Alligator mississippiensis: one gene and its partners. The protein of the gene in region 3 interacts with the protein of the main gene of each other region in a pairwise test. Links are inferred from orthologs where the notes say so. Each region holds a gene or a part of one and is shown on either strand. Other genes may lie near its edges.

Region 1 (3,746 bases), on a different chromosome or scaffold from region 3:
GAGCACATATTGAAACGATAAACAATGAAACGCACAAAATATTTCATCAGTGTTGTAACTGAATATTTCCTTTATTCTGAAGCAATATCAAGGGGTGACCAGTGCAAAGCAGCAACAAGACTTACTGCTGCTTTGGACATCACATTAGATGGGATTGTTACAGCTAAAACTAAGTTAACACACTATTTTGTTTTGGGGTTTTTTTTCGAAAAAAAGCATTAGATCTAAAAAATTTAAAAAAAAAGGGGGGGAGGAGGGAGGGCGACTCTTACCGTCTAAAGACTGCTGCAGGTTCCGGCTCAGCCTGAAACTGCCAGGGCAAATGCAGCAGCTGCTGAACAAAAGTTTTTAGATTTTTTTTTTTTTTCGCGCAGAAAGTCTGCAAAACTAATTTCCCACAAAATAGGGCTCAATTTCCGTTTAAGTAACTAGCTCTTGCAAATCTCATGCAATTCCTGATTTTTTTTTCCTATAGCGACTGAAATTCTTTTTTTTTTTTTAATTCTTGACACACGGACTCCAGAATTAAGACACAAATGGCAGGACCCCTGCTGATTTATTTATTTGGGGGCGGGGGTTAAGACAGAAAACGTTGCTTGTGGGTGCTCCCCCTTGCTCACGCACACGTTGGTGGGGGGGTGTACAGGTGGGCTGCGCTGGCGCGCGGCTCCACTGACTGCATCCCCTGCGAGCAGCGGCGTCTCAAACTCTCTCCGCCGTGTCTCACCTGAGACGGCGAAAAGCAGCGTGGGGAGGTATTAGCTGCAGTCAGAGAACAGGAAGATGTGAGAGAACTTGGTCCTTTTGGTGTGTGTTGGGGGGGTTGTTTTGTGGTGTTGATGGCAGCAAGTGTCTTCCACTGACCATGAGGCGCTGGTGTAACCTCCCGCAAACTCACTCCCTGGCCTCTCGGCGCCCGTTTCCCGCCCGAGCCCCGGGGCCAGCAGAGTGCGGGGAGCCCTGTGCAGCGGGGGCCACGCGCGATCGGCCCAGCGGAGCGTTATTCGCGCTGTTTGTTGCTGGTCACCCCGGGTGCGGCAGAGGGCCCGGGCCGGGGCTAAGGGGGCAGGTGTGGGGCCAGCAGGTGAGGCCGGCAGGGGCGCGGGTGCGAAGCGGGCGCCGCCTCCAGCGCGCACACAAGTTCAGGGGCGGATGCGCGCAGCAGGAGCGGAGCCGGCCCCTCCTCCCGGGGGGCGGGGGGGCGAGCAGGCGGGTGCGCGGGTCCCAGGCGGCGGCGGCGGCCCCGCCCGCGGCGGGCTGGGCCGGGCCGGGCCGGGCCGGGTCCTGTCCTGTCCTGTCCTGTCCCGCGGACGCGGGGCTGCGGGACGCGCCGGAGTTTCGGAGGGAGTTTGCACGCGGTCAGCGCGGCGCGGCTGAGCCAGCCCCCGGCTCACGTTACACGCGCCTGTATTTATAACCTCCCGGTAAGCGGCGGGTTCCCCCTCAAAGCCGCGGCGCGGGACCACCTTCCCCGCCGCTCCCGCTCCGCGACAGCCGCGCGGCGCCGGGACCTGGCCCTGGATTACCCGCGCCCCGCATGCCATGGATCACACCCTTTTCGGCTGCCTGCGCAGCCCGCACGCCGCGGCGCAGAGCCTGCACCCCTTCTCCCAGTCCTCGCTGGCCCTGCACGGACGCTCCGACCACATGTCCTACCCCGAGCTCTCCACCTCGTCCTCCTCGTGCATCATAGCGGGATACCCCGGCGAGGAGGGCATGTTCGCCAGCCAGCATCACCGCGGCCACCATCACCACCACCACCATCACCACCATCACCACCAGCAGCAGCAGCACCAGGCGCTGCAGACGAACTGGCACATCCCCCAGATGTCCTCCCCCCCGGCCGCGGCCAGGCACAGCCTGTGCCTGCAGCCCGACTCGGGCGGCCCGCCGGAGCTGGGCACCAGCCCCCCGGGGCTCTGCTCCGGCGCCTCCAGCCTGGGCACCAGCACGCCCACGGGGGCGGCCTGCGCGCCAGGGGACTACGGCAGGCAGGCTCTATCCCCGGTGGAGACGGAGAAGAGAGGCGGCAAGAGGAAAAGCGACAGCTCAGGTAAAGGCTTCCCCTTGCATTGGGGGCCGGGGGGAGAGGGTGGTTGCCTCCTGCCTGAGGGCCCCGGCGACACCCGGCTTCGGAGCGGGTCGTGCCTTGACCTTCCCTCCTGCAGCCCGTGGGGCCGGGGCATGGACACGCCGGCACGTGACAGCGCCTGACAGGCCGGGCCAGGAGGTTCCCGCAGGGCCCGGGCCCGGCGGGGGCAGCTTCCTCCTGGCGCGCTCCGCCGCCCCCCGCGGGAGCCCCGCGCCCAGCTCACCCCGGGGTCAGGGGCCGGGGCCGGGGGGCTGGCGCGGCTCCCGGCGGGAGAAGAGCTGAGGGATCGAACAGTTCACTTGGCCTATCTGGGGGGAGCCCCTTGCCCCCCTCCGCCGTCAAAAAGTAAAATCGAAAAGTTTCTCCCATAGTATCTTGGTATTGGTGAGCCGCGCAGGGAGATGGTGCTTGATCCTGGGGCTCGGCGACAAGTTTCCCCCGTGCTCAAATGCCATTCTTGTGAATGGCTCCGCCACGGTAGCAGGGCTTCTCTGGGAAGGGATGGCATTTCTAGTACACGGGGAGGAAAGAAGGTGTGTGAACACGTGCACACCCACCCTCTCTCTCCTGAGATGTGGGCACGCACACACACACACGCACACTAGTGGGACAGGCACTGTAGTAGGACATGCATTCACACTCTAGTGGGACAGATGCGTCACAGTCTGGTGAGACGCAGGAGGTAGTGGGATAGGGCAGTACACACACACACACACACACACAGAGTAGTGAGACATGCAGGAGGTAATGGGATAGGGCAGTGTGTGCAGACACTCTCTCTGTGTCTAGTGAGACAGGAAAGTGTTTCCCCCATTGGAAAGTCAGGAGCAGACAAACCAAGTTGTACACTACCAAACTTTGCAAAACCGGGCTCTGTGTTTACAAGTTGGAGAGAGTCATGGCTTCAATGCTGAACACTAGTAAATATTTGGAAAAAATCCTTTCACTTTCTCTTCTCTGGCAGCAGTTGGTTTTTCTTTATAAAACAGAGTGGTTCTCCCCCCCCCCCGCCCCCCCGTCTTTTTTTTGCTCTCCACATCATCCAGAAAGCGTTGTACCCCGACTCGCAATAAAACACTAGGTTAGTTAGTAAGCTTCTTATGCACTAGGGAATCTATTGCTTATATAAAATAAAAATATACTTCCAACTATAAAAAAGATGCTACTTATGGGCATTTATTTGGAATGACATCTATATCTTATTTTATGAAACAAATTGCATGTACTTGACCAGGTGAAAGATGTGGTGATTATTTTCACCAGTTTCTAATGAAAATAATTTTAAGCCATATGGTGCATGAGAGGAGTCTGTGAACTCATCAATTTATTTACAAAGGCAGAAAACAAGAGAGAATTCATCACTAATTTATAATGCTAGGGAAATGTTCATTACAGTTTTTCATTTATTGCAGTTTGCAATGAAAAAGCCCACACCCGTGCTGAAATCGTATCTATCTCTGAAGTCAAGGGTGTCTTTCCAATGGCTTTTGAACAGTATTGATTGAGACTTTAGTTGTGATGGCTTCAGTACAATGGTGTAATCTAGGGTTTGCTTTCTAAGGCAGTATCTGAATATAAAGCTGCAGAGTGGAGGCATAAAACTGTTTTAACCCAAATAAATATATTAATCTATTTATTATTGCAAAGGCTTGAG
Region 2 (3,746 bases), on a different chromosome or scaffold from region 3:
GCATTGTTTTCATAGCAAACGCTCATAATATTCTCTAAATGTTATCTTCAGTTTGGCCACTTGCTTCATACTTGCACTCAAAAAACCCCTCAAGAGTTGAAAGGTAGACAGAAGGGGAGGGGTACAGAAAATCAAATTCCTCAGCAAGCCCTTTCAGGCTCCTGTTTTTATCTCTCTTTCCCCACCATCACTTACATAACTCTTATCAGCATTGTACCTGAGAGCTACATGTTGAGCAAAGGTGGGGGCTTCAATTAAAGTGAGACAAAGAAAAATTGATTTTAGGAGCCCAAAGAAAAATGAACACAAGAAGCAATTTCATTCTATATTTTTTTGTCTTCAGGGGTTGAGAAATTGCTGACTCTGATGGAAAACCTCAAGGCAACTAATGTTTGTAAGGTGGGTTGAGGATTTTTATAATAAAACTTGCCCTCCAAAAAGCTACCTAACTATAACAGAACCAAAATAGAAGCACACATTTCTTATGCTGCCATGTTGTACTAACTAATTTCCTTTTAAATTGAAAGGGACTCCAGTGCAGTAAGATGACATCCTTTTCTTGTTTGTAAGTAGGCAAAACACATGCTTATAAACAATCAATATGTTGCTTCACAACCTCATCCATCCAACCAAGAAAATAAAGACTCAGATGATTACACTAAAAGACAAAAATCATCTTCTGGATGATTAGGTTGCACTATATGTTTGCTCCGTGCTCACATTTGTTCAGAGATGTGGTTTACCCTTAGAGTTTTTGATGTTCCTGTAATATCCCTAATTCTAATCTCATTTTCTAATCCTGCTCCACCAGGGCCTCTCTGAAACATTACTGGGGTGAACTTTCATTCGGAGAAGTTATCAAATGCAAAAACCCATCATTTCGATACAGCTTTCTTGCTCCTGCCTCAACGTCATCCTACTTTGGACCTCCTCTCTCATGCTCACTTGTGTACACACACGCACAGACACTTTCACAGCACAGCAGGCTGGTGCTGGGGCTGGTGAACAGCTGCACAGGCTCTGAAGTAGACAGACAGATGAGGCCTGTGCTAACACCCTGGACCTAAACATCCTGAAAACCTGAAAGCAACAACTGGACGTGGCTGTGAACAACGCATCTTTGGGACAAAACGTATAGAAATGTCCCTGCTCCCTAGTTCGTCAGCCAAGGGCAGAAATCTCTTTCTCTGCCGGTATCTTCCCACGGTTAAAAAGTGTCTCACCCAAGGCCGGAATTAGGGTGCTGAGCCCTGCACATCCTGTGTGAGCCTTACGTGCTGGGAAGCCGCCCATTACAGACAGCGCCGTTGCCTTCCTGCCTTCCTTGCAGAACCTCCCAACTATGCATCCTGAGCCTTTTCTTTTTAATTCTCTTGGATTTAACACAGATCCCCTTTAGAGCAAGAAAGGAGCAGAAAGAAAGGTGCGGTCCGTTACTCACCGAGCAAGCTGCTGAGGCCTCTCTGACAAGCTACCGGTTTTGTTTTCTTCCGCTACCACCCCAAGTCAACCATCCCCTGTTAATTAGCATGCCCTTTATCTCCCCTTTGCATGCTGTGGCACTCCTCCCTCCAAGGGAAATGAATGAAAGGAAACCCCAACTTGCTGTTAAGTTACAACTTCCCGCGCCAATAATGTGGGCTGAGACAGACATACGTTATCGGTTTCTCCTGTGTCAGGGCTCATTGCTGTTCATCCACAAAGAGCCGTAGAAGTGAAGGTCTTACCTGTGTTTGCGATGGGAGCCCAGAGGTAGACGCACCAAATCACTGATCTTCTCCCCAACCTCTGTTAAGCTTCAAGGCAGAAAGAGAAGGTTGGATATTGGGTTATGGGGCATTAACTGACATCTTCATTCCAGCGACTTCATTGTGCTGCCATTTTTTTTTTTTTTAATAAAACAGGAAATGTGCTAAGCCACAATGCTTATCCCCAGTTCCTGTCTCGTTAGTCTGTGACATGGTACAGAAAGCTAGCAGGCAACTTGAAGCCCAGTTCAGTATGGTGGTTTGGGTATCTTGAGATGTAAGAAGTCTGGACTTTTGCTATCACCAGCCACCGTTATCCCTCACTGCACATGGAAGCGGTGCATGGATCCAGGAAGCTATGCCCACAGCACAGCAGGTCTTTTATTATGCTTGCTGATTCCTGCCAATTCCAAGGGGCCTGGGGTTAGGTAATTCCACCCAGGGTATAAGAGCAGTTGGTGTGAATGGAGCAGCCCTGGAAGAAATCCCTCGGACAAGCTTAGCTCGGGTGACATGGCTCAGCTCTGTGTTACATTGCTTCCATTTTATCTGCCGATGAAACAGCTGCCTTGGGAAGAGGGAGGTGTTTGTACGCTAATCCAGTGTACAGGTGCATGTGTATGCTGTGCTAGAACATGGCAAAGATGCAGCACTTGTAGGGTACATTTGTGTGATTAACCATTTGGCCGTTAATGAAAGAATGCCTTCAAAAAGGTCCTGATGCAAAGCTCCTTGAATTCAGTGGAAAGAACCTAACTAACCTGAATTGGGCCCGAAAAGAATAAACAAGTCTCTTTCAGATTTCTGTATTTCAGGTAGACTCCCCTTCAGTTCTTCATGTGTCCTTGGAAAATACTTTATTATGCCAGCTTAGCTTTAATTTACACCTTGTCTCAATTTCTCCTCTTCTTTTATTTTTTTTTTAAACTCCAACTGAGATGTTATAAAATGTAAACAGCAGAGACAAAAAGAACATGCACATGGCATGTGATCCAATACCATAGTTAATGATGCTGTTTAGATACTTAGCGCTGTTGAGTTTTAGGACTCCCTCCTAACTTCAGTGATGGATAATGTGACCCCTAAAACTTTCAATGTCCTCAGCTCCCATTGAAATCACTGGGAACTCAATGTTTGGCTTGCAGAGAGTTGTGGGTGGTTGTATAACTCGGAACTGATCCCAGTCCCTCCAAATGCTATTATCTGCATTAAGCAATGCTATTAGCTCTTGCAAGAGGTCACTTTGGGTAAGTATATAAAGCTAAGCAAAATACAGCCCAGTCCCTGTTGAGGGCACCTATGCGTTGCCTCGGTGGAAGCAAGTAGTAATAATGGTATCAGTTCAGTAGGAAAGGATGCTGTGGGGCCTGGTTCTGCTCTCGCTGGAACAGAGGAAGAGGAGAACCAGGCCCTATGTTAAAGGGAGTTCATCTTGGGTTTTCCTAACATGTTGAAAATAGATGTCTTACTTAGTGGCTCTTCTTGGGACTCTGTGTGATCAGGAGCCTAGAGATTTAGTACTAAAAATCATGAGGGCTGTTGGAAGAGCAGGAGGCATGTTGGGGGCTGCAATGCTTTGGAGCGGGCAATGGCCACCTCCTCCTTCCAAGAGGAGATCCAAACCCATCCACTGTTAGTTGTGCCCTCTCAGCCAGGGAAATGATTTTGCTGCTTTAAGGAAGCCTCATCTCCAGAGAGGAAATGAAGGCGGGTGGGAGGAAGAGTTGAGAGTAGTCAGTATTGTCTCAGTGGTGTAGGTGCCTAAGTCACTTGGAAAGTCAGAGGCATTTCTAACTTCTAAGGACATGACTACGCAGCAGCCCGTGAGCTTGCGGGCACATGCGTTAAGCCTATGCAGGGGCTGACTGCCCAGCCACGTGAATATGTCTGTATGCGGGTGCAGTTGCATGGGGATGATGCTGGGGTCTACGAGGGCACGTGCTGGCATGCTTAGAGCAGGAGCTGCGCTAGGAGCTTGCTTTGTTGAAGTCACTGAGG
Region 3 (3,746 bases):
GCAACCCCCAAACAACTTCTCCACTGGGGGGGGATAGGAGTTGCCTTACCCCACCTGCAAGGGTGGGAACCGGGATGACTGAGTTCTCTGGGCTGGAGTGGGGCAGGGCTGGGGGTAACCTGGGGGTGGCTGTTAGGGCCTGAGGGTGGGAGGGGCTGGGAGTGAGTGGAGGGGCAGGATTGGCACTGGGGGGGGGGTGGCTGGGGGAAATTGAGGGATCCAGGGTGCAGGTCTGTGTATGGGGGCAGTCCCTGGACTACCAGGGGAGCAGGCTGGTTGGGCAGGATTCTGGTAGTTGGGGTGTCCCATTGGAAGTGGGGATGGGGGGGTCTCTGCAGTGTGGGGCTATCCCTGAGTGCACCTTGAGGGGGGGTTAGGAGGGAATGGGGGGCCTTAAATACAGGGGAGTGGTCCCCAGGGTGCCCGGAGGAGGTCTCAGGGTGTAAGGAGGTCCCATGGGAGGTCCATGGGAAGTTTTGGAGGGTTCCCCAGGATCTGTGTAGGAGAAAGTCCTTGGGTATTGGGGGGCTCCAGCTGTGGGGGGAGGGATCCTCAGTATGTCCTAGGGAGGGGTTCCTGGGTGCATGTGTGGGCCTGGACAACCCCTGAGAGGTTTTGGTGGGGCCAGTTATGGAGGCCCTGGTGTTAGAGGCTGGGGCCTGGGTGTGGGCAGTCTCTAGGTCTGTGCAACAGTGCCTGGGGGCCCCTGGATGCGGGCGGCTGGGCTGGCTGTGGGGAAGGGGGGTTCCTAGGAATCTCTGGTTGGGGAGCAGGGTGGACCGCGGCCCCTCAGCCCTGTAGGCTGCGGGGAAAGGGGTTGTCGCTGGCGCCGCCCTGGAGAGCGAAGTAGACGAAAGTGAGGAAAGCGGCCACGGCCCCGAACACCAGCAGCTGCAGCCACAGAGGCAGGAAGCGCCGGGGGGCGCCGGGAGTCGCTACGCCTGTGCCCGCGCCCGGCCCGCCCCTGGACCCGGGTCGGATGGAGGGGCGCGGCGCCACGCGCTGGTAGGCAGTGCTGTCCCTGAAGGGGAAAAGCGATGAGTGGGGGACCGCCCCCGCCCCGCCCCGCCCCGCCTCCCAGACCTACGCTCACCTCTCAATAGCATCCCCCCAGGGGCTGCTGGCGCCGGGCTCCTCCTTGCCCTGCGGGGAGATCCCACGGCCAGTCAACAGCGCTGCCGGCCCCGCCCCACGCCTCCCTCTACAGGCCACTCCGGGAAGAACCCTTCATTTTCATAGCCACGCCCCGGAGGGAGGGGCGCGCGGGTTCTATTTGCATCTCCGCAGATCGCTTGCATATTTGCCACGCGGGGGCTGCCGGGGGCGCTAGGGTCAATGCTGGAAATGAGGCCCCGGCGTCCCCGGAAGGGGCGGGTCGGGGCATCTTGGGCAGCCCCTGGAGTTCCTGCATTGGAAGTGGCGGCGGGTCTCTCCTCAGTGGAGGCGGCGACCCGGGACGGGAAGTGATGTATAGAGACCGGGTGTGGTTCCGTGTTCGGCGCCGCTCCCCAAGCAAGCAGCGGGGTGTACCTCCCGCATCAGGGGGGGGTCCCTGAATCGCGTGCGCCCGGCATGCGGGAGCCCGCATGCTCGTGCTCTGGGCGTGCCTGGACACCTAGGTTCTCTGGGTGTGTCCCTGGCCCGGCCCCGCCCCACCGCCCCCAGTCCCGCAGGCCCCGCCCTATGTGTCCCTCACTCACAGGCCGTAGCGGGTCGCTGTAAAGCCGGGCAGGGGGCTCCTCTGTGTAGGAGCCCTGGTAGGTATCCAGATCTGGCGAGACACACAAGGGGGCTGAGACCTGGGGCGACCGCAGCTCCTCCACCAATGGGGAACCCGAGGCCCAGCTCCCCAGCTCACCTTCGCGCCTATAGCCACGATTGGGGAGTACGGAGTGGTCTGGTGTCATGTAGGATTCCCGGATGTAGAGCCTGGAGGGACTCGGGTCTAAGGGTGTGTGGGAGGAGTTAGTCTGACCCCCAGCCCCCAAAAACCCCAACGGTGCCGCTCACTCCAGCCCTGCAGTCCCCTGCCAGAGCCCCACAGGCCCCGCTCACCCTCTGCCGGGTATCGGGCCCGAGCCCCGTCCTCGGGGTACTTGTAGAACTCTCTCATGAAGCTCTCAGTAGTGAGGGGCTCTGCAGGGGGGAGAGGGGAACAAGGGCGAATCAATCCAGGCCGGGGCTCCCCGTCTCCCCCCTCACCCGTCACTCACCTGGCGGCTCCCCCGGGCCCCCCTGCGTCGTGCGCTGCCGTTCCAACTCGTAAACCTTCTTCTCGTAGAGCTTCCGTGTGGAGCCTGGGCGAGGGGGTGGGAGGGTCAGAACCCCCATAGCCCGACCCCTCACTCCCGACCCGCAACCCCCTTCGCCCCACATCGGGACCCCAGTGGCTCCGCACCCTCATACCCACGACTGGCCCGTGCGAGATCTGGTAGCTCTTGAGTTTGGCAATGAGCTCGTTGTCCGTCAGGCCCTGGTACTGCTCCATGCTGCCCGGAAGAGGGGTGGGGGAGCTTGAACGCAGGCGTCGGGGTCTCCGGGAGCTCCGCGGGCTGGGAAGAGAGGCTACGGGGCGGGAGCAGGGGGCGCGGCGGAGCTGGCAGGGGTCTCGATCTCAGGCCGGGCCAAGCTGGAACCGCAACGACTAGGAAGTGACGGGAAGCGGGGCGGCCCCACCCCCAAACTACGTTACCCAGAGTCCCCCACGGCAGCCCGAGCGCCGCCGCAGGGAGGTGAAGCTGGGTGGGCCCGGACACCTGGGTTCTCTCCCAGCCGGGGAGCTCAGAGACGGAAGCGTGCGCAGAGCGGTGTCGGGGGCACCGCCGGACTCTAGGGCGATGTCGGGACACCCGGGCTCTCTGCGGGGTCGAGGAGCTCTGGCGTTGCGCTCCCCGCAACCGGCCGCCCCCCCGCCCGACTCACCCCGGCCCGCTTCCTCCACGCCCCACCCCCGCGCCCGCCCGCGCCCCACAGAGCAGGCGGCTCCTCGGATCCTTTCTCCCCTCTTCTTTATTCGACAGTTTTTATTCCTTTCCTCGCTCCCCTTTTCCCCTGTCTTTTTTGGTCGATACATGTCAAGGGGGCCAGGGGTCAGCCGGGGGGGGGGGGAACTTAATAATTACGTCATGATCTCCCCTACCTCATGCCCCCTGCGGGGGTGATACTGGGGTGGGGGGTTATTGGGAGGGAGGGGCCACAAACCCAAAGTCACAGTCACGGCACAAAACAGACACGGAGAAATAGAGAGCTAGGGGGTGCGGGGCGCCAGGGTTCCATCATCCCTCCCCTGCGTGCCCCACGTGTGGGCGTCTCCCCCCCGCCCCCACACTCCCGAAGGCCTGGGGGGGTACAGAAGGTTGGGGGGCCTGGGGGCAGTTGTGAGGGTCCCGATCCAGCCCCAGGCCCCCCAGGGCTGCGGGGGGGGGGGGGGGGGCAGCGGCACATCTCGACGCCCCCTGCTGGGGCTGGAGACCTGGGGAGAGAAACATGGTGATGGCAATGGTAGCCCCGCCTTTTTACCCTGTCCCATCCCCCTTCCTCCTCCAACCTGCCCTGGCCACACCTCCTTTTCCCCTGACCCCACCCCAGCCCAGCCCCTCTGTGCACTTGCCCCTAGTTACATCTGCTCTCACAGGCCCTGCCCCTGCTGAACCCACCCCATGGCCACACCCTCTCCCCCAGGCCCTGGCCACAGTGGGAGTCACTCACCAGCTACATCTGGTTGGCGAAGGCTGTTGGGGCAGCGG

What was found.
Region 1: the proteins of EMD (region 3) and MEOX2 interact in binary tests that used the Homo sapiens proteins (3 or more experiments, as listed by UniProt). The two-hybrid records come from large-scale screens. The link is inferred for Alligator mississippiensis from reciprocal best matches to the Homo sapiens genes EMD and MEOX2.
Region 2: the proteins of EMD (region 3) and TRAF3IP3 interact in binary tests that used the Homo sapiens proteins (3 or more experiments, as listed by UniProt). The two-hybrid records come from large-scale screens. The link is inferred for Alligator mississippiensis from reciprocal best matches to the Homo sapiens genes EMD and TRAF3IP3.

The regions. Positions count from the first base shown.
Region 1 is NC_081828.1:164,604,098-164,607,843, forward strand, and holds the start of MEOX2 (homeobox protein MOX-2), read left to right. Parts: upstream 1-1,236; 5' UTR 1,237-1,542; coding exon 1,543-2,053; intron 2,054-3,746. UniProt on the Homo sapiens protein: Mesodermal transcription factor that plays a key role in somitogenesis and somitogenesis and limb muscle differentiation. Required during limb development for normal appendicular muscle formation and for the normal regulation of myogenic genes.
Region 2 is NC_081837.1:43,724,092-43,727,837, reverse strand, and holds the start of TRAF3IP3 (TRAF3-interacting JNK-activating modulator), read right to left. Parts: upstream 2,521-3,746; 5' UTR 1,442-2,520; exon of another isoform or gene 812-1,441; intron 400-811; exon of another isoform or gene 1-399. UniProt on the Homo sapiens protein: Adapter protein that plays essential roles in both innate and adaptive immunity. Plays a crucial role in the regulation of thymocyte development.
Region 3 is NC_081831.1:28,900,201-28,903,946, reverse strand, and holds the start of EMD (emerin), read right to left. Parts: upstream 2,588-3,746; 5' UTR 2,489-2,587; coding exon 2,407-2,488; intron 2,298-2,406; coding exon 2,214-2,297; intron 2,137-2,213; coding exon 2,056-2,136; intron 1,946-2,055; coding exon 1,859-1,945; intron 1,772-1,858; coding exon 1,701-1,771; intron 1,144-1,700; coding exon 1,094-1,143; intron 1,022-1,093; coding exon 790-1,021; coding exon of another isoform or gene 749-789; 3' UTR 1-748. Other genes in the region: SYP (synaptophysin), read right to left, coding at 3,712-3,746. UniProt on the Homo sapiens protein: Stabilizes and promotes the formation of a nuclear actin cortical network. Stimulates actin polymerization in vitro by binding and stabilizing the pointed end of growing filaments. Inhibits beta-catenin activity by preventing its accumulation in the nucleus.